Arabidopsis thaliana: one gene and its partners. The protein of the gene in region 1 binds, or shares a complex with, the protein of each later gene. Each region holds a gene or a part of one and is shown in the gene's direction. Other genes may lie near its edges. The genes, in order: Tic20-V, TIC40, Tic22-IV and TIC55-II.

What was found.
Region 2: Tic20-V (region 1) and TIC40 share a complex: the UniProt entries of both Arabidopsis thaliana proteins name them as parts of the tic complex.
Region 3: Tic20-V (region 1) and Tic22-IV share a complex: the UniProt entries of both Arabidopsis thaliana proteins name them as parts of the tic complex.
Region 4: Tic20-V (region 1) and TIC55-II share a complex: the UniProt entries of both Arabidopsis thaliana proteins name them as parts of the tic complex.

The regions. Positions count from the first base shown.
Region 1 is NC_003076.8:22,553,918-22,557,876, reverse strand, and holds Tic20-V (TIC 20-v-like protein), read left to right. Parts: upstream 1-2,226; 5' UTR 2,227-2,252; coding exon 2,253-2,882; 3' UTR 2,883-2,999; downstream 3,000-3,959. Other genes in the region: AT5G55720 (Pectin lyase-like superfamily protein), read right to left, coding at 381-605, 785-923, 1,016-1,830; BAM4 (beta-amylase 4), read right to left, coding at 3,175-3,327, 3,414-3,482, 3,706-3,775, 3,876-3,959. UniProt on the Arabidopsis thaliana protein: May be involved in protein precursor import into chloroplasts. Not redundant with TIC20-I, TIC20-II or TIC20-IV.
Region 2 is NC_003076.8:5,448,724-5,455,472, forward strand, and holds TIC40 (hydroxyproline-rich glycoprotein family protein), read left to right. Parts: upstream 1-1,896; 5' UTR 1,897-2,084; coding exon 2,085-2,280; intron 2,281-2,531; coding exon 2,532-2,649; intron 2,650-2,737; coding exon 2,738-2,795; intron 2,796-2,905; coding exon 2,906-2,923; intron 2,924-3,333; coding exon 3,334-3,643; intron 3,644-3,762; coding exon 3,763-3,869; intron 3,870-3,976; coding exon 3,977-4,040; intron 4,041-4,402; coding exon 4,403-4,487; intron 4,488-4,592; coding exon 4,593-4,633; intron 4,634-4,817; coding exon 4,818-4,863; intron 4,864-4,969; coding exon 4,970-5,064; intron 5,065-5,145; coding exon 5,146-5,249; intron 5,250-5,349; coding exon 5,350-5,397; intron 5,398-5,479; coding exon 5,480-5,533; 3' UTR 5,534-5,854; downstream 5,855-6,749. Other genes in the region: DNA repair protein Rad4 family, read left to right, coding at 6,602-6,739. UniProt on the Arabidopsis thaliana protein: Involved in protein precursor import into chloroplasts. Part of the motor complex consisting of a co-chaperone (TIC40) and a chaperone (HSP93) associated with the import channel (TIC110).
Region 3 is NC_003075.7:16,063,182-16,068,520, reverse strand, and holds Tic22-IV (Tic22-like family protein), read left to right. Parts: upstream 1-1,623; 5' UTR 1,624-1,805; coding exon 1,806-2,171; intron 2,172-2,261; coding exon 2,262-2,324; intron 2,325-2,696; coding exon 2,697-2,771; intron 2,772-2,867; coding exon 2,868-2,918; intron 2,919-3,035; coding exon 3,036-3,095; intron 3,096-3,200; coding exon 3,201-3,263; intron 3,264-3,669; coding exon 3,670-3,705; intron 3,706-3,790; coding exon 3,791-3,883; 3' UTR 3,884-4,084; downstream 4,085-5,339. Other genes in the region: FLDH (NAD(P)-binding Rossmann-fold superfamily protein), read left to right, coding at 1-296, 392-532; AT4G33355 (Bifunctional inhibitor/lipid-transfer protein/seed storage 2S albumin superfamily protein), read right to left, coding at 953-962, 1,075-1,424. UniProt on the Arabidopsis thaliana protein: Involved in protein precursor import into chloroplasts. Imported into the intermembrane space via the Toc translocon. May be involved in the import pathway used by proteins without a cleavable N-terminal pre-sequence.
Region 4 is NC_003071.7:10,572,582-10,577,680, forward strand, and holds TIC55-II (translocon at the inner envelope membrane of chloroplasts 55-II), read left to right. Parts: upstream 1-2,360; 5' UTR 2,361-2,456; coding exon 2,457-2,851; intron 2,852-2,942; coding exon 2,943-3,045; intron 3,046-3,126; coding exon 3,127-4,248; 3' UTR 4,249-4,357; downstream 4,358-5,099. Other genes in the region: AT2G24810 (Pathogenesis-related thaumatin superfamily protein), read left to right, coding at 1,281-1,335, 1,452-1,607, 1,666-1,800, 1,883-2,118; AT2G24830 (zinc finger (CCCH-type) family protein / D111/G-patch domain-containing protein), read right to left, coding at 4,412-5,099. UniProt on the Arabidopsis thaliana protein: Involved in protein precursor import into chloroplasts. Part of the redox regulon consisting of TIC32, TIC 55 and TIC62.

The DNA.
Region 1 (3,959 bases):
AATATGATTGGGAAAGTTAGAATAAAAGAAACTAACAATATACGAATAATTCCTAATCTTATGTTAACACTCACTAAAAAAAATGGGAGTATATATAAAATTATTAATGATGAGTGTCAATCTTAGTTTTATCCGATGGAAAAAGGTTGTTAAGTAATTTTAATGTATTTATAAATAAAAAAACTGACGAAACTTTGTGACTCGTAAAAGAAATTTTTTGGTAAAGAAATTGACAATGAACAATTGTTGTTTGGGTCTATGATCATCATCACATTCAGTACAAATCCTATTTACGATAACAATAACCACAACAAGTAGAAGAGCAAAAAAGAAAAAGAAGGACAAACACTAGATTTGGTCACAAGCTTATGTTTGTGTTTTTAACAAGCTTGGTCAATTTCGCAACTAAGAACACCTACTGATGGATGTGTGGTCTTGAGAAGTGAAGCTGGTCGAGCTACCATACTCGAAAATTTCGCGTAGCTCGGAGAATCCTCTTTCCCTGACGGTGTAAAGAAAGCTCCGTTAACCATTTCGTCTCCTTCTGATTTCCAGTTCCATTCCTTCCATTCTTCGTCTCCATCTGCACTCTCTCGCTTTGTAACCTGCGTATAGGGCATGTGAGTTTAGAAGTATGGAGCAAACATTTCCGTCTAGAATCTAATCCATATAGTAAGACACATGAAAATCAAATTTCTAAATGATTAGTCGACTATGAATTAGATTGTACTAATTGTGAGGTTAAAACGCTCTTAGTTTTGTGGAGCACATGTCACGAACGTACCTCCTTGGTGAACTGATTATTGGAAGCTATGAAAACATTTCCTTGGCTAAAGATCGTTGGATTAGCACTTCCACCAATAGCATACATCTTCCAGTCTCTATAAATGTTATTCACTATGTGAAAATATCCATGCCTACACCTACACATTGGTATTTTAAGCACGAATATTTTGGTTAGCTTATAAATTTGACATTAAAAAAAGAAGAAAAAGAAATATAAGATTGTACTAACCTTGGCATTCTTTGGACAAGTCCTTCACCAAAATAGTTAAACGCGATCGTAACTCGCATATCCCGATCACCGGAATACTCATCACTATGGCCCAAAAGCATGACTTCATTATGATTCAACATGTAACTATTCGAAATCGTTATATCCGTGGATCCATTCACCGCATCAATAAGCCCATCGTAACATTTCTCTAACGTACAATGATCAATCCAAATATCTCGAGACTCGAATATCGATATTCCATCTCCATCCGAGTATCCTCCCAACGACGATAAAGCATTCCGTTTCACGGGAACACAATCGTGAATATAAAGATTGTTTATAATAATGTTACTAACTTTATATAAAGTTAAACACGGTCCATAAGCTATTTGTACGTTATTTCCTCTACCATCAATGGTTTTGTATGAAGCTACTTGAAGATCTTGTTTTAGTTGTATTACCATGTCTCGATCAAAAATGATCCATAGAGGTTGATCTTGTGTCGCAGCGTACCGTAATGTACCTGGAGTTGGATTTAGAGGATTGTCGTCTCCTGAATCAGTCACCGTGTAGAACTCCCCGGCTCTACCGCCAATTGAGTCGCGTCCGAATCCAACCGCGCAATCCGCGAGGTTTTTGCGGTTGTCCTTCCAGTTTTCGTCGCATCTCCAACACTCATCGATTGGATTTCCATTGGCTGAGCAAGAAGACGCTGTTGAATTTGATGTCACTGTCGTTGATAGTCTCCTTACTATTGGCGGTTTAGGAATCGCAAATGCAAACGCAAAAGAAGTGTTTAAGAGAAACAAGAAAAACGTACATACAATTGACATTATATGTTGTCTTAAAAAGAGATTAAAACCAACTAACAATTTCACTATGAACATTATGTTTATAATTTGCTCCAATATATATATGCAAGAGACATTGAAGTGCACTAAAAAATAAATACGGAGGTAATTAAATTAGGTGAAAATTGAAAGAATTGGGTCCAATACAAAGGCATTACGCCGTTTTATACCGGTGGATTTTGATATTTAAATATACACAAAAAACAAAGACAATAACAGAGGCTATTTAATTGTTACCTTACTTCAAATAACTACGTACCGTTTTATCATATTAGAAAGATAAGAAGACGACACAATGTTTTAAGCTAAACTTTTAAAACAGAGTGGAGTTTAGTTTATTATCCTCTCATCATGTGTTAAGCAGTCTTTCAGTTTTGTGTGAAGTGAAACAAAAACAGAGCAAAATGGCAATAATATCTCAGTTTTTTGCTCCATTACCATCTCTCACCGGAACCCTAACCCTAACCGGTCGTTCTTTTCTCCCTCTAAACCTTGATACCCAATTCCCAAAACCTAGACTTTCCAGGGACAGAGCCGCCACACTCGTACTCCAATCCAAGGGTGATGATTCCGTCGATGCATCGGATCGGATAATCTCAGCCGTCTGTTACTTCTACCCATTCTTCGATGGGATTCAATACGGCAAATTCATCATCACACAGTACCAACCTTTTCAGATTCTCATCCAACCTTTGTTTCCCGCCATCAGAGCTTTCAAGAGCTTCCCTTTCAATGGGTTTCTTATCTTCATCACTCTCTACTTCGTCGTTGTGAGGAACCCTAATTTCAGCAGGTACGTCAGGTTCAACACGATGCAGGCGATTGTGCTTGATGTGTTGTTGATTTTCCCGGATTTGCTTGAGAGGAGCTTTAATCCTAGAGATGGGTTTGGTTTAGATGTGGTGATGAGTTTGGACAGCACAGTGTTCCTCTTCTTGCTTGTCTCTTTGATCTATGGATTCTCTGCTTGCTTGTTTGGTCTGACCCCGAGGTTGCCTCTTGTTGCCGAGGCTGCTGATAGGCAAGTCCTTTGATTCAATAATATCTTTGTATGTAACACATTTGCTGTGATTAAACCTTCTGTATTGGATCGCTTTCTGATAATCAAAACATACAATGTAACTTTTTGATCCAATGAAAAAGGTTTCTGCAAGACTTTTGCAATAGAGATAGAACAAAATGAAGAATAGAAACAGAGAGAGATTTTATCATATAACAATTTTTGATTTGATTAGTTCTCCTCATCACATATCTGAAAAAGCAATATGGTGAGGAAAGATCGATTCTGTAACAAAAGACAAACACACCAATGGGTGGTGAGTGTGTTTACATATCTGCACTCATCTGTCTAATGAAAGGGACAAAGTTGTTCCAGTTCTCGACCCTAAAGATCTTCTCATTCATTCTGCAAAACGTAAATGATCTTAGAGTGTCGCCATTCGGTTGCACACAGTTCTCTCGTATTTGCCTTAGTCCCATCTGTTGCAGAATTCATATAGAAAATGGTTAATAACCACCACTTTGACCTCAGACGTATAAGACTAAAGCATGTGCAAATAACTCACCTCATCAAATCTTTCGCTTGTGTTTCTACCAGTCACATGTATTGTCCACTTCTTCGAAACATCATGTATCTAGCAAAAGAAAATGTGATAATGCTGATTTGTTCATGTTCTTATAAGGCATGCTTAATTGTCTAATGTAGCAGCGCAGTAAGAACACAGAGACTAGACTAGTTTGAAGTGTCTCTACGGAAGTAAATAGTGCTTCAACAGTGACCGGTCTAAATACAAGTAACATACATACTTCATATGAACATAATTGAATTCTGGATCAAGGGTTTACGAAAGAAAGTACCTGTCTACGTAATCCTTCAGGGCTGCAAAGATATTTCTCAGGTATTTCACTATCTGCCATATCCAAGCAGCTGAAAAGATATGATAGATTCTCTCGTTAGTGAAACTGGACCATGCAGCTTCTGAGAATTATGTACATAGTAAAAGAAAACTTCAGAAAAAGGCTCTCACGGGATGTTGAGAGCAGCACCATGACGAGACAAGACGGAAGCTACAGGATCATAACCATCCCTGAGGGAGGTGTTGTAATAACCT
Region 2 (6,749 bases), about 17 Mb from region 1:
TTTTTTTTCCCGTGGATTCTAGCATTTTCTCGAGATTCGACATCTTCCTATGTTTTTAATTCTGATCTTATGTTTGGATATTTTAGATCTTCGAATTTCTATGATAAAGTGTTAACCTTTTCTCAAATAAAGGTTTTGTGAAAATTTGCTTTTTGATGCTGCTCTATGATGATTCTTTTTGCTTTAACCACACTGAAAAGATGGGGTTGAGAATGTGATTTTGCTCTTCTTGATTCAAACCAGAGAAAGATTAGATTTGATCTCGGAGTTTCTTGATGACACTTTGATCTAAGTTGCTTGAAGGGGATTCTTTTTCTCCTTTGTGGTTTAGATTAAGGTAGAGAGTAATGTCGAGCTCTTATCAACATTTTTCATGGTTTGAGGCTTGAAGAACATTCACGTTTTTCAAGCTCACTCATGTGGACAACCTTGGCCCTTGTCTGAGAAGCAGCTTTTTCTCATATTCAGTTTTTCTAAATTTGTTGTTTTAAAAAAAAAAATTGGTTTGTTTTTTTGGCTGTTCTATGATGATTATATTGCTTTAACCACACTGAAAAGATGGGCTTGAGAATGTGATGTGGTTCTTCTTGATTTAATCCAAAGAAAGAGTTCTTGAGCTATATGTATTGCTTGATGACACTTTGATCTAAAATACTTGAAGGGGATTTGTTTCCCTTTGTGTTTTAGATCAAGGAAGAGATCAGTGTAGAGCTCTTGTTCGATATTTTTCTTAGTTTAAATCTTGAAGAACATTATCATTTTCTCAAGCACTCATATGTGGAATCATTGTGCCCTTTGTCTGAGAAGCAGCTATGAATTCTGTTTTTGTCTTCGATATTGTTAAACGTAGCTGATTTGTAAGATTACTTTGTGATCTTTTTTGGATGCTTGATATGTATCCAACCAAGAGTGGGTTTCTTCTTACAAAGATATTGAGTTAGGAATTTTAATGTCATTTTATGTTCGAATTGGGGAAAATTCACAAAAAATTGGGAAAATAGAAGAGAGCATTATTCGATGTTTACCACATGGTGGAATAATTTGACAGAACAATGTACTTTGGGAATGACATATGGAACAAACTGTGTAAACCAATTTGATGATGAAGGTGAACGAGTTACATATAGGAGACTTACACTTCCATAATAATATTCAGAAACTATATGAAAGTGTATCTTTCTTTATTACTAAAACTCTTTTCTAATAAGAAATGTGTAAACTATGTAACTCGGCAACGGTTCCAGACTCTCTAATCCTAAATCAATGTTAAAGGCGTAAGGCTCTTGAACCTGTTCATTGTGAGCTTTGAACTAAGTATTCAATTTTTTGGACAATCCGAAAAACACAACAGTATAACTACAAATGGATTAGTCCCATTTGGGCGTAGTCTCATTCGTTTGGACGAGAAACACAACGAAAAACCTAGCCAATTTTGTTGTTCTCATGTATGGGCTTAATTGGGGACTAATCCATCTGTGGTTCCCCTTGTTTCCATAGTTCGTAATTTTATTCGTTTTTCGTCTTAAGTTTTCCCTTCTTTAGGTTTAGTTTCCGGAGATATTTTTGTTTTCCGCCGGCTTTGTGTTTCAAATTTGTATTCCACCCTTTGTATTTCACAACCTATAATACAATGGAAAAATTCTGGATGAAAAAAAGAAAAAGAACACAGTATATAGAAAAATCTGAATCACAGTACTAACATCATTGATTTTCTGCTACAAAAATGAGTGTACACTGATTCTTAAAATAGATACGGGCTATAACATAACAAAAAGAAAAAGTGGGGGATGGCTTTTGCAATAATCTCGAAAGAGTTTCTCACTCACATCACACCCTTGGTTTATAAATAAAACTCATTGATCTTGACGGTGAAAATATCGCCACCTGTTAATTTGTAAAAAGGTTTCAGTACACTTAGCTACACTGGATCCAAGTCTAGTGCTAAACTCAAACCTCGTGGTTTTAGACCAAAATCTCTTCTTCTTCGTTTCCTTCTTCCTCATCATATCTTTCATCTTCTCCACCAGAATTTGTTTTAGGCTCTCCTTCTTCTGTTTCTTTTTCTCCCAAAGAAACAATTAGATATGGAGAACCTTACCCTAGTTTCTTGCTCAGCTTCTTCTCCAAAGCTGTTAATTGGATGCAATTTCACTTCCTCGCTGAAAAACCCTACTGGGTTTTCTCGTCGGACTCCTAATATTGTCCTCCGGTGTTCCAAAATATCTGCCTCTGCTCAATCTCAATCTCCCTCTTCGCGTCCGGAGAACACTGGAGAAATCGGTTAGTTTGCAAATTCCACTCGACACTCTATTATAGCAAATGCCAAAATTTTCCGGAAAAATTTCCAGTTTATTACTTTTATCTATCTTATTGAAACTCAAATTGCGAACCCTTTTCGACTGGTTTAATATGAGCTTATGAATTGCTATATCTCTTAAAAAAATCCACACTTTGTGAATTTGCAATTTGAATTCTTGTAGAAACCATTCATTGTTAGAATTGTTTACTTTAAGTTTATGTTCGATTTGCAGTGGTTGTGAAACAGAGAAGCAAAGCTTTTGCAAGTATATTTTCTTCGAGTCGTGATCAACAGACAACTTCTGTTGCTTCCCCTAGTGTGCCTGTGCCACCACCATCTTCATCAACCATGTAATTTTCCTGGTTTTGGACAATGTGCTTAGTTTGTATGTCGTTTGATTCTTGGTTATTAAATTGTGTTTTTTCTTTTTTCTTGTAGAGGATCACCACTTTTCTGGATTGGTGTTGGTGTTGGTCTATCAGCTTTGTTCTCATATGTGAGTATCAAGATTCCTTCCTAATTTTTTTTTCCTCTATAAATATTCTTTCTTGCTTCAATATTGATTAATAAGTGCTTGACCTTTTTTCTTTTCTGATGGCATTGCAGGTAACTTCAAATTTAAAGGTACAGATACTTGGCCCTCTGGTTTTACGGGACTTTTGTTCTCTAGTCTGTTGCAGAACCACGATTTTATGCTTCATGTCAACTCTAGTGTATTGTGCTCATGTATCTGAGATAGTTTTATTCACTAAACTGGTTATCTTAACAAGGTGAACTGTTTGCTCACACTTGTTGAACCGTTTATATAAGCATCGAACTTTTGCCTCTCTTTTTTTGGGTAGTCACTTGATTCGTAGATGGTAACCTACATACCATTATGGTTTTAGTGATGCAACTCAGGTATTCAGACTTATAGTCATTTTCGCAACTCCAGTATTTGATTGAAATATATTATACAAGTTGTCATTGCTTTCTCTCATTATTCTCTAACCGGCTGTTACTCTCTTTGGATTTTTTTTTTTGCTTTGGTTTAGAAATATGCAATGCAAACAGCTATGAAGACGATGATGAACCAAATGAATACGCAAAATAGCCAGTTTAATAATTCTGGATTCCCATCAGGATCACCTTTTCCGTTTCCATTTCCTCCTCAAACAAGTCCTGCTTCCTCGCCATTCCAATCTCAATCCCAGTCTTCAGGTGCTACCGTTGATGTGACAGCGACAAAAGTAGAGACACCTCCTTCAACTAAACCGAAACCTACACCTGCAAAGGATATAGAGGTGGATAAGCCAAGTGTTGTCTTAGAGGCAAGCAAAGAGAAGAAAGAAGAAAAGAACTATGGTAGATTCTTTTTCTGTTTCAGAAATCAACGTCTTTTCATTTGTATTCTCAATTTTGACTTTCTTCCTTTCTCATTTTCCAAGCTTCTAACTTGGAAGCTGATTTACTTTTGGATGCAGCCTTTGAAGACATTTCACCCGAGGAAACCACAAAAGAAAGCCCATTTAGCAACTATGCAGAAGTCTCTGAAACTAATTCCCCCAAAGAAACTCGCTTGTTTGAGGATGTAAGTTTCGTTTTCTTTTGTATTTCCACAGCACACCAAGTGGTGATTTAAAAACGTGACATAGTTTTGCTAACCTTCTATGCTCTCTTATTGATCTCTGGGTGAAGGTCTTGCAAAATGGAGCTGGTCCGGCAAATGGTGCCACTGCTTCAGAGGTTTTTCAATCTTTGGGTGAGTTATTGAATTTCAGTTTTCATCACTATCAGCGCACTGTGCATGATTCATGATTAAGGCTACGGATTTCAATTTTATTTTATAGCATATGCCAACAATTATAAACAAAGGAAGATATGAAATTGGTGATAAAGAGGAATGAGTTGGCTTCAAAAGGATCTACTCCGTTACTTTTGTCCTTCTGCTAGTCGTTGATCTGTATTGGTATAACCATATAAGACTTGCAGGATATTACCTTGGCAATCTGTTTCATATCTCATGTGTTATGATTCTTTTTTCTTATATGCTCACGTTATTGTCTCTCTTTTCCTTATTCTAAATTTAAAACTGAATCCTGAGTCTGTCTATTGTTTACACAGGTGGTGGGAAAGGAGGGCCGGGTTTATCTGTAGAAGCTTTAGAGAAAATGATGGAAGATCCAACAGTCCAGAAGATGGTTTACCCGTAACTCATCTTCCCTAGCACATTGTCTTTAAATGCATCCATTAAGTTTATCTTTAAAACTGGTTGCTTAGTGGACATTTGGTAACATTGCATGTATAAATGCAGATACTTGCCTGAGGAGATGAGGAACCCAGAAACTTTCAAATGTAAGTCTTTTAATATTTAATCCTGCTATCATTCTTTTATTAGTCCTCATTTTTACATATTTCTAAAGACTAAAGGTTACATGACTAGCTTTTGAATGATGTAATTCGTTTATAGGTTGATCCAATGGTTATCTAAATTTAAAATACAGTTTGGTACTTATTGTCTCCGCTTGGAATTTTGTAGGGATGCTTAAAAATCCTCAGTACCGTCAACAACTACAGGACATGTTGTAAGAGCTCCATTTTACGAACAATTTAGTTGTTTCCATTGCTTTTAAGAATGTCTAAACTATGTAATTAAGAAATACTCTTGTTTGTTTCTTTTCATGAATTTAGGAATAATATGAGTGGGAGTGGTGAATGGGACAAGCGAATGACAGATACATTGAAGAATTTTGACCTGAATAGTCCTGAAGTGAAGCAACAATTCAGTAAGACAAATCTCAGTTTGTACCAAGTTAATAGTACGTTAAATAGGTCTGATACTCAATGATTGAATCTGTATTTGTCAGATCAAATAGGACTAACTCCAGAAGAAGTCATATCTAAGATCATGGAGAACCCTGATGTTGCCATGGCATTCCAGAATCCTAGAGTCCAAGCAGCGTTAATGGAAGTACGTTTTCTTTTAACCTGAATAAGAGAATTGCTTAATTTTACCCCACTTCTTTCTTCATACAAAACAGAAACCAATTACATTCTTGTTGTTGTTGCAGTGCTCAGAGAACCCAATGAACATCATGAAGTACCAAAACGACAAAGAGGTAATAATACTGCCACTTCTCCATTGCCCAAAAAGGCGATTACTTTTTTAAGAAATTTGAGGTTATTATACATTGATTGCAGGTAATGGATGTGTTCAACAAGATATCGCAGCTCTTCCCAGGAATGACGGGTTGAAAAAGCTCACGTCTTTGGTTCTATCAAAAATGTCACATTGTCTTTAGCTTTTTGTAGGGAGAAAAAAATGTTTTTTTTTTTGCAAAGAGTCTTCAGTTTTGGTCAGATCAGAGAATTGTGTACCATGTTAATCTTAAACGCGGTCGGGAATTGGAGTCGTGTGAAAACGCCGCTGCTGTTGTTTGGTATGAATATTATACAATAGAATTTGTTGTCTTACCAAAAAAAGTCTATGAAGACACTGAAGAGCAAATTATTATTTTTAAGGGAAAATTTCCAAAATAAACTTCATGTATTCAAAATTTGCTTGAAAAAACCTCAATTTTTTTTGTTTGAGATTGTGTGAATAAATCTGCCAATATTTTGTTTTAGCAATTTAAAAAATTGAAGTTTTTTTCTCGCAAATTTTAAATAGTTGTGATTTATTTTGGAATTTTACCTTATTTTTAATATCCAAAAGGAGAAGTGACGTGGCGATATCGAAGCGGTTTAATGAAGTGATGGCCCCATCTTAAAGAAATCAATGACCCTTATCGTTCCACTTCTATCGGAGTCGGAGTTTTTTTTTGTTGTTGTTGTATTCCGTACGTCGGTCGTTGTCGGGAGAATTGGCGCGTGAAATCCTTGGCTCCGTCGAATACGTCTGCCTCCGACGGCTGTGAGTCGCATGATTGAGTCGTGGGTAAGTATCCTTGTGACTTCAAATTTGTATTTCCGTTCTTTATAATCCCCTGACTCTTGAGAAAATCGAGGAGAAAAAACCATCCTTGCTTGGTATTCATTTGAAGAGTGTTTTAGTTATAAAATCGTAATGTTTGACGGTATGTGATATTCTGTGAGCATGATTATTCAGAAAGCTTTTGTCTTTTTAGTAAATATTGTCTCTTTCTTAGTCTTAGGTAATGTAACCTCAAGAACTCTATGCGAGAACATTACACATTATCTTTGGAATTGGATATTATATTGTTAAAGTTTAATCATTGATGAAAGTTGCAAAGAGTTATGATGACTCCGTTTTGGGATTGTCTTACCGTTGTCTTTCTGGTTTTAATGCTTAGGTTTCTCTTGATGAAGTCTAGAAGTGAAAGTAAGAATTGTAGGCTTGCACAAGCCTCTAGAGTAGCAGTCAACAAAGTTCTAGACAAAAGCAGCGCCCGTGGCTCTCGAGGCAAGAAGAAGCAAGATGATAACTGTGATTCCGCTAAGGTTTGTTCTT
Region 3 (5,339 bases), on another chromosome or scaffold:
GCTTTAACGGGAGGTTGCCTGGATATATTGGCTCTGGGACGGATAGATACTCCTTCAGCCATGTTGATGATGTTGTGGAGGGTCATGTTGCTGCAATGGAAAAAGGTAGGCTTGGTGAAAGATACTTACTCACTGGGGAAAATGCTTCTTTCAAGCTTGTCTTTGACATGGCTGCACTGATTACTGGAACCAAAAAGCCAAACTTTAGCATTCCATTATGGGCCATCAACGCATACGGATGGTTATCTGTTTTAATCTCTCGGGTTACAGGAAAGCTTCCACTTATCAGTCCTCCGGTGAGTTTCAATTGCATTCATTAGTTGCCCACATATTATAGATTATCTTATTAGGTATAGAATAATCTCAACTCTTAGTATTTTGTGATGAACAGACAGTGACAGTGCTGAGACATCAGTGGTCATACTCTTGTGATAAGGCTAAGCTGGAACTTGGTTATAACCCTCGAAGCCTAAAGGAAGGATTGGAGGAGATGCTCCCTTGGTTGAAGAGTCTGGGCGTCATTCACTACTGAAATTCAAATTTCCCATCTTTCAGGTATTTCGAAGAATAATATTCCCTTGAATTCAGTCACTATGATGAGTGATGACTACATTTTTACTTCTCCCGTTACACTTTTAACCCAATCGATTTTTATCTTGTTACAAAACTGCTTCGTTTTGATCGTGTATGTCAAATAAATGTGAAACATTGTGTGCAAATGCTGATGATCATATTTTAAGATGTTGAGCTACGTGTGAGAGTAGGAAAGAGGGAATATGTAAATGTGGGAAATAATCACATTTTATCTGCCAAGAACTATATGATTACATCTATAACATATATGATCAGAAGATAAATACTAAGTATCCATATAATTTGTTCATGATGGTTTTGATCTTTTAGGATATCCACTTTATTGTAGCTGCATGGCCGTTGGTAGTCAATCTTCTTTTCAGTTTATGCTGTTCAGTGTTCACAAAACAAATTAAATAGGTCAATTAGAGGATTATGTAGTTAGAAGCTCTCACAACTACACATGTTTCGGCAATATTAAAAAGAAACTGCAGTAGCTACCTGTTACAGTCCACAGTCTTAGAGAAAGGGACTCCTATATTAACACCACATTTAGCAGGGAGTTGTTTGGCAAAATCATCATTAATTCCAGGGATTGTATTAGCTACACTCTTCAAGCAATTACAAGCTACTTGTCTATCGGCTTTCTCAGGCGCTGCGGCTTTTAGACTATTAAGTCCGTTGCAGCACATTGGAGACGGATTTCCTCCAGCTTTTAGATAAGGCAAACATTGTGCTAAGTACATGTTTACCTGCGGACATGCTATGGCTTCTCCATGATACGCAATCCCCAATAAAATCGTAATCACAAGTAGTAACATTTTTCGGGTTGTAGTAGTAATGTTCCTCATATTTTTCAGTTAACGAGAGTTTTAACAATTTTGTTTTCTTTAGTGTGTTGTTTGCTTGATCTAGTAAGTATTTTATAAGGAGGAGAAATTTGGAGGAAAAAAATGTCATCGACATGAATTTTGAGTGACAAAAGCTTTTTGTAAGTCATGTCATGTGTTTAGAATGGTGTGGAAGTTGAGTTTAGAAAGTTAATAAATGCTTTGTCACCAAACTTTTGATCAAGGGCCATATTAAACGTAAACTAAAACCAATCAAGTCCAATAAAGCCCAAATAAAAAAGCCCAAACGAATTGCTCTGAAGCCTTTTTCTTCACTCTCTTCATAGTATCAAAAATTGCTTCTTCTTCTTCTACTTCTTTCTTCTCTCTGCAAATCCAAAAATGGAGTCATCAGTGAAACCCAATCCTTTCCTCTCCTTCTCTTCTTTCATTCACCACCAGTGTACCCGCTTCAGCTCCGACCTCTCCGCCCGAATCGAAGACACGAAACGATTCGCCGAAACCCTAGCTACTCGACGTTTCTCTCTTCCTACTCCGCCGCCTTTCGCCTCCGTCTCACAATCCAAGTCTGGAACCCCGACGACGACGTTGAGTCCATCTCTTGTCGCTAAAGCTCTCGCTGGGACGTCGGTGTTTACAGTCAGTAACACCAATAACGAATTCGTTCTTATCTCGGATCCTACCGGAGGCAAGTCTATCGGTTTGCTCTGTTTTCGACAAGAGGATGCTGAAGCTTTTCTTGCTCAGGTTTCGCTTTTTGTTGTATTTTTCTCCTCCGAACTTTTTTAAAAAAATGTGAAGTTTCTGAGCTCATAATTCTCTAATATACTCCTTTAGGCGCGACTTCGGAGAAGAGAATTGAAAACCAATGCGAAGGTTGTTCCCATTACTCTGGACCAGGTAGTTCCCTTTCCTTATGATCACTGCATTAGATCAATGTGGAAGAAGCCATTGGTTAAATCAAATGAAACAAACAAATTTCAGGAGCTCAAATTCTAAGTAGACTTGTTCATGTCTGGCCTCATTTTAGTTGTTTATATTATACGGTAATAGGAACACCTGTTGGCAGTTTGAATGAACGGGAGATTGTGTTCTTGTGCACGTAGCAATGTTGACAACATCGTCACAAGAAAGAATGCAACGATGGCATGATTATAATCCCTCTAATGGCTTGGAACTTATAAGTTATAACTACGTTTAGGGAACTTTTTGATGTTATTTGCGTAATCGTGGTAGCTACATTCCCAGAAGTTAAGATGATGTTGTTTACAGGTGTACTTGCTAAAAGTTGAAGGGATTTCCTTTCGCTTCTTGCCAGATCCAATCCAAATAAAGAATGCGTTAGAGGTTGGCTCATGCTAAACAGACTTTTAATTATATGTGTCTATAGCATTTATTTGGCATTTCAATCTTATCCATAAGCTATATTTTCTTGCGTCTCAGCTCAAATCCTCAGGAAATAAGAATGGGTTTGATGGAGTTCCGGTTTTTCAGGTAAATTGATATACTCATTTTCTGTGTTTTTCTATTATACCAATATGGATTCCTTATGTTTTGGTGTTTTTGCTTTGTTTTCTCTTGATATCTATCTGTTGTTATTGGCCTCTACAGTCTGAGCTTCTTGTTGTGAGGAAAAAAAATAGACGTTACTGCCCTGTATATTTCAGTAAGGTTGGTTAGTTTCTTCTCCCACGTTAAAGAATACTAATAGATCTCTCATAAGCCAAAACAGAGGAAGATAACTCTTACTTTCCTGTTCTGCGTGACCACTTTCAGGAAGATATAGAGAGGGAACTTTCTAAATATACGAGAGCATCAAGAGGAGATCAACAAATTATGGTAATGATTCATACCTACCTTCTATGTATTTGAATCTTCGATAGGCCACGTAAGATAGAAACAAACACCTTGATCTAAAGACATGGTTTACTAACAAGTGGGAGTAGCTAGTAGCTGTGTTGGCATCATATGTAATTTCTAGCATTTTTTGTGATTACATGTTCTGCAAACATATAACACCATGTTTTCAAAGGAACAGCGAGGGAAAGGGAAAAGTCTTAGAAAACTTTAGAAAGAGCGGAATTCAGATTGTACATGCCTTCATATATCTGAGTTAAAATGAATTCCAAGGTTTATCGTTATCAAAGTTGCATATCAGAGATCAATATATAAAGTAATTTCACAGCATTGGTTTTGTTAAGAGTTTTCTTATCTTCACCATGGAACTAATCTTTTTGTTTTGCAGGTTGGGAGTCTGGAAGATGTGTTGAGGAAAATGGAGGTACTCACGCTTCTTCTTTGTTTAAAGAAACCTTAAAGTATGAAAACCTGGTAGTCTAATAAAAATCTGAATTGAATCAATGTAGATGAGCGAGAAGAATTCAGGTTGGGAAGATGTAATATTCATTCCACCGGGAAGAAGTTATGCACAACACATGCAGGATTTGATCAAAGAGTAAAACCATAATAGACACAATGTGTGTATTTTTACTTGATAAAAAAAAAACAGCCTCTTTTGAGATTTTGCAATATTATCAATTGCCCAAAGAGCTCAACACAGTCCCAAAATTTAGTTTTCTCCTCTCCTTTTACCACTTAAACACATCATCAACATGTTACTCGTGGTTCTTACATCCAGAAAAATATATTTGGCATATACGGATACCTAAATCAAATAACATAATCTTGTTTGTTTTAAAAAGTGGAGATGTACGTTATTCATCTGTCATTAGAATGTAGTATCAGCCTAATTATTCAAAGGAGGTTGAGGCCTCTAAAATGATATGTTGGTTTAAGCTAATTATTGATCAAATTTGGTTGATATACGATTATTAAAACTAAGATGTCTTACCAATACTTATTTTCATTTTCTTTTCCTCTCATCATAATCGCTTTGACATCTCAGCTTAATGATAATGTGATTATTTTCATCCTTACTAATTGTTACTGCCTTAAAAAAAACAAGTTGAAGTAAGAAAAAGAAAAGGAGATGAGATTGTTTCAAAAGCATTGATCCTTTCCTGAAGCGTAAGTAAGCGATGTTGACAGCAGAACTAAACTTGTTGCTTGCTTGACTTCCTCCGTCGTCGCATATTGCACCTACTAACATTTTTTCTCTTCTTTATTCTTCCAACCAATTGTAGCCTATGGTCTTTTGTACCAATTTTTCAAAAGTTGTAGTTGGTAGAGGTTTTGTGAACAAATCTGTAACATAATTTATTTTCTAACATAGATTGCATCGTTTTCTGATAAAGATCATCAAATTGTGGAAATATGTAGTTTTTTTTTAGTTTTTTTTTTTTGGGCGGAAATATGTAGTTTATTATCCTACTTTTGATGACATTTTCCTTTATTCAATTGAGCTGTAACTACTACTTTATTTTATTTTTGTATTGTGTTAAGTTGTTGTATAGTCTTTATCGGAGATTACATGTTCTCCGAACTTATGTAACAGCAAGCATTCACAATTTGTCTCATTATTTACCAAGATTTGTGAATAGATAAAGTGGTAACAAAAGTCAATGTCCTGGAGCACCATTAATAGTAGAACCTTCAAATGACGGTAGATAACTTTTAATGAAATCCCTTTTGGGTTTTGCATTGGATGAGATAAAGTGATATATGTAGTAAATAAAAAGGATCCCTTACAATATTGTAATTTTGGTCCCATGTTTGGAGGTGAGAGCAAATACGTATCTTAAGGCATACGTATCGCAAACTCATGTCATTATCCAACCACAATCGTTGGCGACATATCTTTGTTTAATAATAATACATCAGGCTTGTGTTTGAGTAAAGAAAATCCTTTGACACGTCCAATGTAAACTCTTTTAGACGTTTTTTTTGTCCTACTCAAAAAAACTCAACCTCTACTTAAAGTACTAATTACCATGTTTTTGTTTTTTTCTCTACCCT
Region 4 (5,099 bases), on another chromosome or scaffold:
TCTGTCAGAAGATGGAAAGTGAAGTTGCTTAATCAGCCGAGAGAGAGAAGAGAAGTTGTAGTTGTTGTGATAAATGAAAACTGTAAATGCATGTGCGTTCGTGTCAGAGAGAGAGAGAGATAGTGATGGTTGAGTCAGGAGAACTTAATGACAATCTCTTTACTCTCTTATGCATGCATCCATGAGATCGAGTCATCAATTTTACAAACAAAACAAGAATTTGAAAGTGGTGAATCCAATCACTGCATGCAGTGAATTTTATGGGTAAGAAACCCTAAAATAGTATGAATTTCTCCATTATTGTGACAAAAATCAGAAAACTTTTTTTTGTACCTTTCAGATATTTCTTTTTGAAGATTTAAAAAAATCACTCATGCTTATTGAATTCATCTTTCTTTGACTTGTTATAGTATATGTCACTTTTGCATACAAAAAAAGAAGAGAGAATCTATAAATAGAAAAATGTACAAAAGGATCTAATAATGTGCTTCAGAAACTCTTTATTTGTTGATAGTTTCTGTTGATAAGCCAATTCTTTGTCTTTCATGTCTCAGAAAACCTGAAAAGTACAAGAAATGGTGGAAATCAGTAAAAGGTTTGTCGTTTTTAGATAATAAACTCGATATAGAACAAAAATAAACAAGCAACGGAGATATTTGGATTTTAAAACCTGGGGGTCGTGGCTTTGGACTCGAATTCAATAACCTAATTAAGCAATAATCTTATAATTTCGAAGGAAACAAAACAAGCAAATTTTTTAATGTTAGGTTTAAAGCTTTGTGAAAAAATAATAGAAAAAATGTACTCCATCTTTTTCTAATCATTTTAAGTTTATTCCACTTTAATTTTGTAGTTTTTTTTTTCTTTTCTTCTTTATTGACTGATATTATAAATCACAAAGTTCAGGATGCAATGATTAAATTTATTAGATTACAATCAATGAGTATTAGTTTATAGTTATTAAAAATATTTAATATAAAAAATAAACAGTCATAAAATAATGTTTAATTTTTAATGTGTGTAAAATCCAAAACATCAATGCTTACGGAGATTTCCTTAAGATTAATAAAGTTGATTTTTATGTAATAAGAAACAAAATCTCATTAAACTTTAAAAGTAAAAAAAATAAAAATATGAAGTGTCACTTATGGTAGTAGTATCCAAAACAATAAGTTAATGGATTTGTTTCTAAAGAAAAGAAAAACACTATAAACAGAGGATCCTCACCATCAACTTTCACTAATCATCACAACTTCAACTTTTCAATACTCAGATTAACAATGGCTATTTTCTCCAAATTACATCTTCTCTTCTTCTCCTTCATCATAGCCACATGTATACATAAAACATTTCCAACATTTTAAGATGACTACTTTGATTTAATAATTTATCTGATAATTTTTTTTTGTTGTCCGTCCTAGTAATTTTTTTTTAATTGTATATTCTTCAAGGTACAATTTCTATTGTCTCCGGCACCGTCTTCACTTTATCAAACCGCTGCAACTTTACTGTGTGGCCCGGAATCCTAACCGCAAACCGCACACTACTCCGCGGCGGCGGATTTGCCTTAGCTTCAGGTTCTTCTGTAAACTTAACCGTTTCTCCAGGTTGGTCTGGTCGAATCTGGGGTCGAACGGGCTGCAACTTCAACGCCTCTGGTTCCAGAAAATGTAAAAATGCACCGGTGCAAGAGGAGCACCACCAGCCACACTAGCAGAATTCAGAATCGGCTCCTCTGGAAAGAAATACACCGTACAAGATTCTTACGACGTGAGTCTCGTCGACGGTTACAACGTTCAGGTGAAAATCACACCACAAGGTGGCTCAGGCAATTGTAAAACCGCGGGATGTGTTTCGGACGTGAATGCCATTTGTCCAAAAGAGCTACGCGTTAACGGCTCATCGGGTGTTGTGGCGTGTAAGAGTGCTTGTGAGGCTTTTAACAAACCGGAGTATTGTTGCACCGGCGCTTTCAGTAAACCGGAGACTTGCCCGCCGACGAAATACTCGAAGATATTTAAAGGAGCTTGTCCCACTGCGTATAGCTATGTGTACGATTATGCTTCGAGTAGATTTACATGTACTAGTGCTAATTATGTTATCAGTTTCTGTTCTTAGGCATAGTATAGCCTTTTTTATTGTTATTATTATCAACAATGAATAAATAATTAATCACTATTAACATAGTTTTATGTTTTTTTTTCATCACTATGAAATGTATTAAAGCAAAAAAGACTAATGTTAAAACTTAAAAGATTAAAAATAAAATAAAAAGAAGTTAAAATGACATTTAAATAACGTAAAAATAAACGACGTCGTTTAGCCAAAGTTTCTACTATCTATGTATGTGGTGGAACGAGGTCCAATGGTTGAACAAGCAACCTTATGATATATTTTATGAGAAGAGGCAAACAACACCTAACATTGGATTCGAGCTCTCTAGTGAAGAATCCGCCATGGCTGTTCCATTTCTAAGCTCTTCTCTACAACTCACACCCACTTCTCCGATTCTCTTCACTAAAGTAACACCAACACCAATAATCCACAACCACAGATCAACATGCACTATACCCACAAAGCCTCGTCTACGTCTCCTCCGCCGCTCCGCCGTCGCTGGAACCGCCGTATCTGATCAAACAGAAGGAGGTGGAGATGTTCTTTTAAACCCTGAAGAAGAGAAACGTGTTGAGGTGGCGGATTATGATTGGACAGAGGAATGGTATCCATTGTACTTAACTAAAAACGTCCCTGAAGATGCGCCTCTTGGCCTCACCGTCTACGATCGTCAAATTGTTTTGTATAAAGACGGTGAAGGAACACTTCGTTGTTACGAAGATCGGTGTCCTCATCGGTAAGATAAATCATCTAGCAAAACCACAACCACTAGTTTTGTACTTTTGTTTAGGAATCTGAAATTGAGTTTTGTCTTTTTTTTTATAAAGGTTGGCTAAGTTGTCTGAAGGACAATTGATTGATGGGAGATTGGAATGTTTGTATCATGGTTGGCAATTTGAAGGAGAGGGCAAATGTGTCAAGATTCCTCAGGTTCTTTGTTTACTGATTTTTGCTATTTCGAGATTTTCTCTTTACTCTGTACTTACTGGTTTTGGGTTCTGTTTCTAACAGCTTCCTGCAAGTGCTAAGATTCCAAAGGCTGCTTGTGTGAAGACGTATGAGGTGAAGGATTCACAAGGAGTTGTGTGGGTGTGGATGTCAACAAAGACACCTCCAAACCCTGAGAAGCTTCCTTGGTTTGAGAATTTCGCTAGACCCGGTTTTTTCGACATTTCGACTACTCATGAGCTTCCTTATGACCATTCCATTCTTTTAGAGAATCTGATGGATCCTGCTCATGTTCCTATCTCTCATGATAGAACGGATTTCACTGCTAAAAGAGAAGATGCTCAGCCTTTGGTTTTCGAGGTCACAGAGCGAAGTAATCGGGGTTTCGCAGGGACTTGGGGCCGAGAGAAAGAAGGTGGGAAAGGGAGTAATTTACTTCGGTTTGATGCTCCTTGTGTTCTGCAGAACAATCGAGAGTTCGAGGGGAAGGATGGAGTGAAGAACTATTTTTCAGGGCTGTTTCTTTGTAGACCTACAGGGCAAGGGAAGTCTATGCTTATTGTTAGGTTTGGGGTCACAAAAAGATCGCCTTTGGTTTCGGTGTTACCTCAATGGTTCTGGCATCAGAATGCCTGCAAGGTTTTTGAACAAGACATGGGGTTTCTATCGTCTCAAAATGAGGTTCTGATGAAGGAGAAAGTACCAACTAAGGACTTGTATTTGAATCTAAAGTCATCGGACACATGGGTCGCTGAATATAGAAAGTGGATGGACAAAGTTGGTCATGGGATGCCTTACCATTTCGGGCATAGGACCATATCTCTCCCCAAAGTCCCTCCTGTCGTGGAACATGCCCCGGCAGGGCTCATTGCAGCTCTCTCTGCTTCTTACCCTGCAAAAGGCGGAATTGGGACTATGCATGCTCCCAATTTGGCTAACCGGTACTTCAGACATATTATTCATTGTAGAAGCTGCAGCAATGTGATCAAATCTTTTGAGCTCTGGAAAAATATCCTCTCTGCCACGGCAGTGGCTTTGACGGCTTTGGCCATTCTGGTGGTTAGTAGACAGTGGAAGGCTGTCCTGTTAGGTTCAGCAGCATTGTGCTCAGCCGCAGCTTATACCTGCTTAAGAGCTATAAATCTAAACACCAATAACTTCATTAGAACACACAGAAGACTATGAAAATGTATAGTGTCATGTTTCCTCTTCTTCCAACAATATGTATTTCATGAAATAAATTTTTGCTTGTAAACGCAATTATATAATTCAGAAGGTTCCAATGTTTGCCATCAATCTTACAGTTTAACCATGAAATTTCTGTTAAACTGGTTTAAAGTTCTATGTTCTAAAACTTGAGCCATTTCTTCTCATTCTCTTTGCTTACTATAGCATTTGAGGCAGCTGCTTGACATGCTAATGTACTTGCCAATGCCTTTCGGACTTCTTTCAATCTTCTCGTCGCAGCCTCTGAAACAACTAGATCTTTCTTGTTTCTGTTCACCATCTGTTCTAGTTTCAACATTTCTAACTTCAAGTCTCTGACTTCATCTTGGTATTCAACCAAAGCTTTCCTGTCTACTGGACCTTTGTTTTGCCTATTTTTTACAGACTCGCTGTGTACTTTCTCATGGCGGGTAGGAAAAATTTGTTCATTGATTAAGCTAAACAAATCTGGCTTCGATTCCTCTTCCTGTTTCGCTGCTTTAGCTGCTTCTGCAAACTTCTTCCCACGCTTCCTTTTCCCACCTCTGCTCCTTTTCTTCTTTTGTTTCTCGCTTTTACATTCTCCATTCCTAATGTGCTCAAGAGCATAATCCAGTGACCGCTTTGCTGGAAGTACTTTTACTAAGATTGGATTTAATATCCCTTGGCCAGAGACGCCAAGACCCATCCCTTCACGGTAACCCATACTTGCCATCATCTTCGAAGCTATTCCTCTAGTATGATTCTCCCATTTAGCAAATAAGGCAGTGTCAGTTTGGACACCTCTTGGTAGATTTGTGCTTTCTAGAAAGCCTATGCCTTGTGGAGAC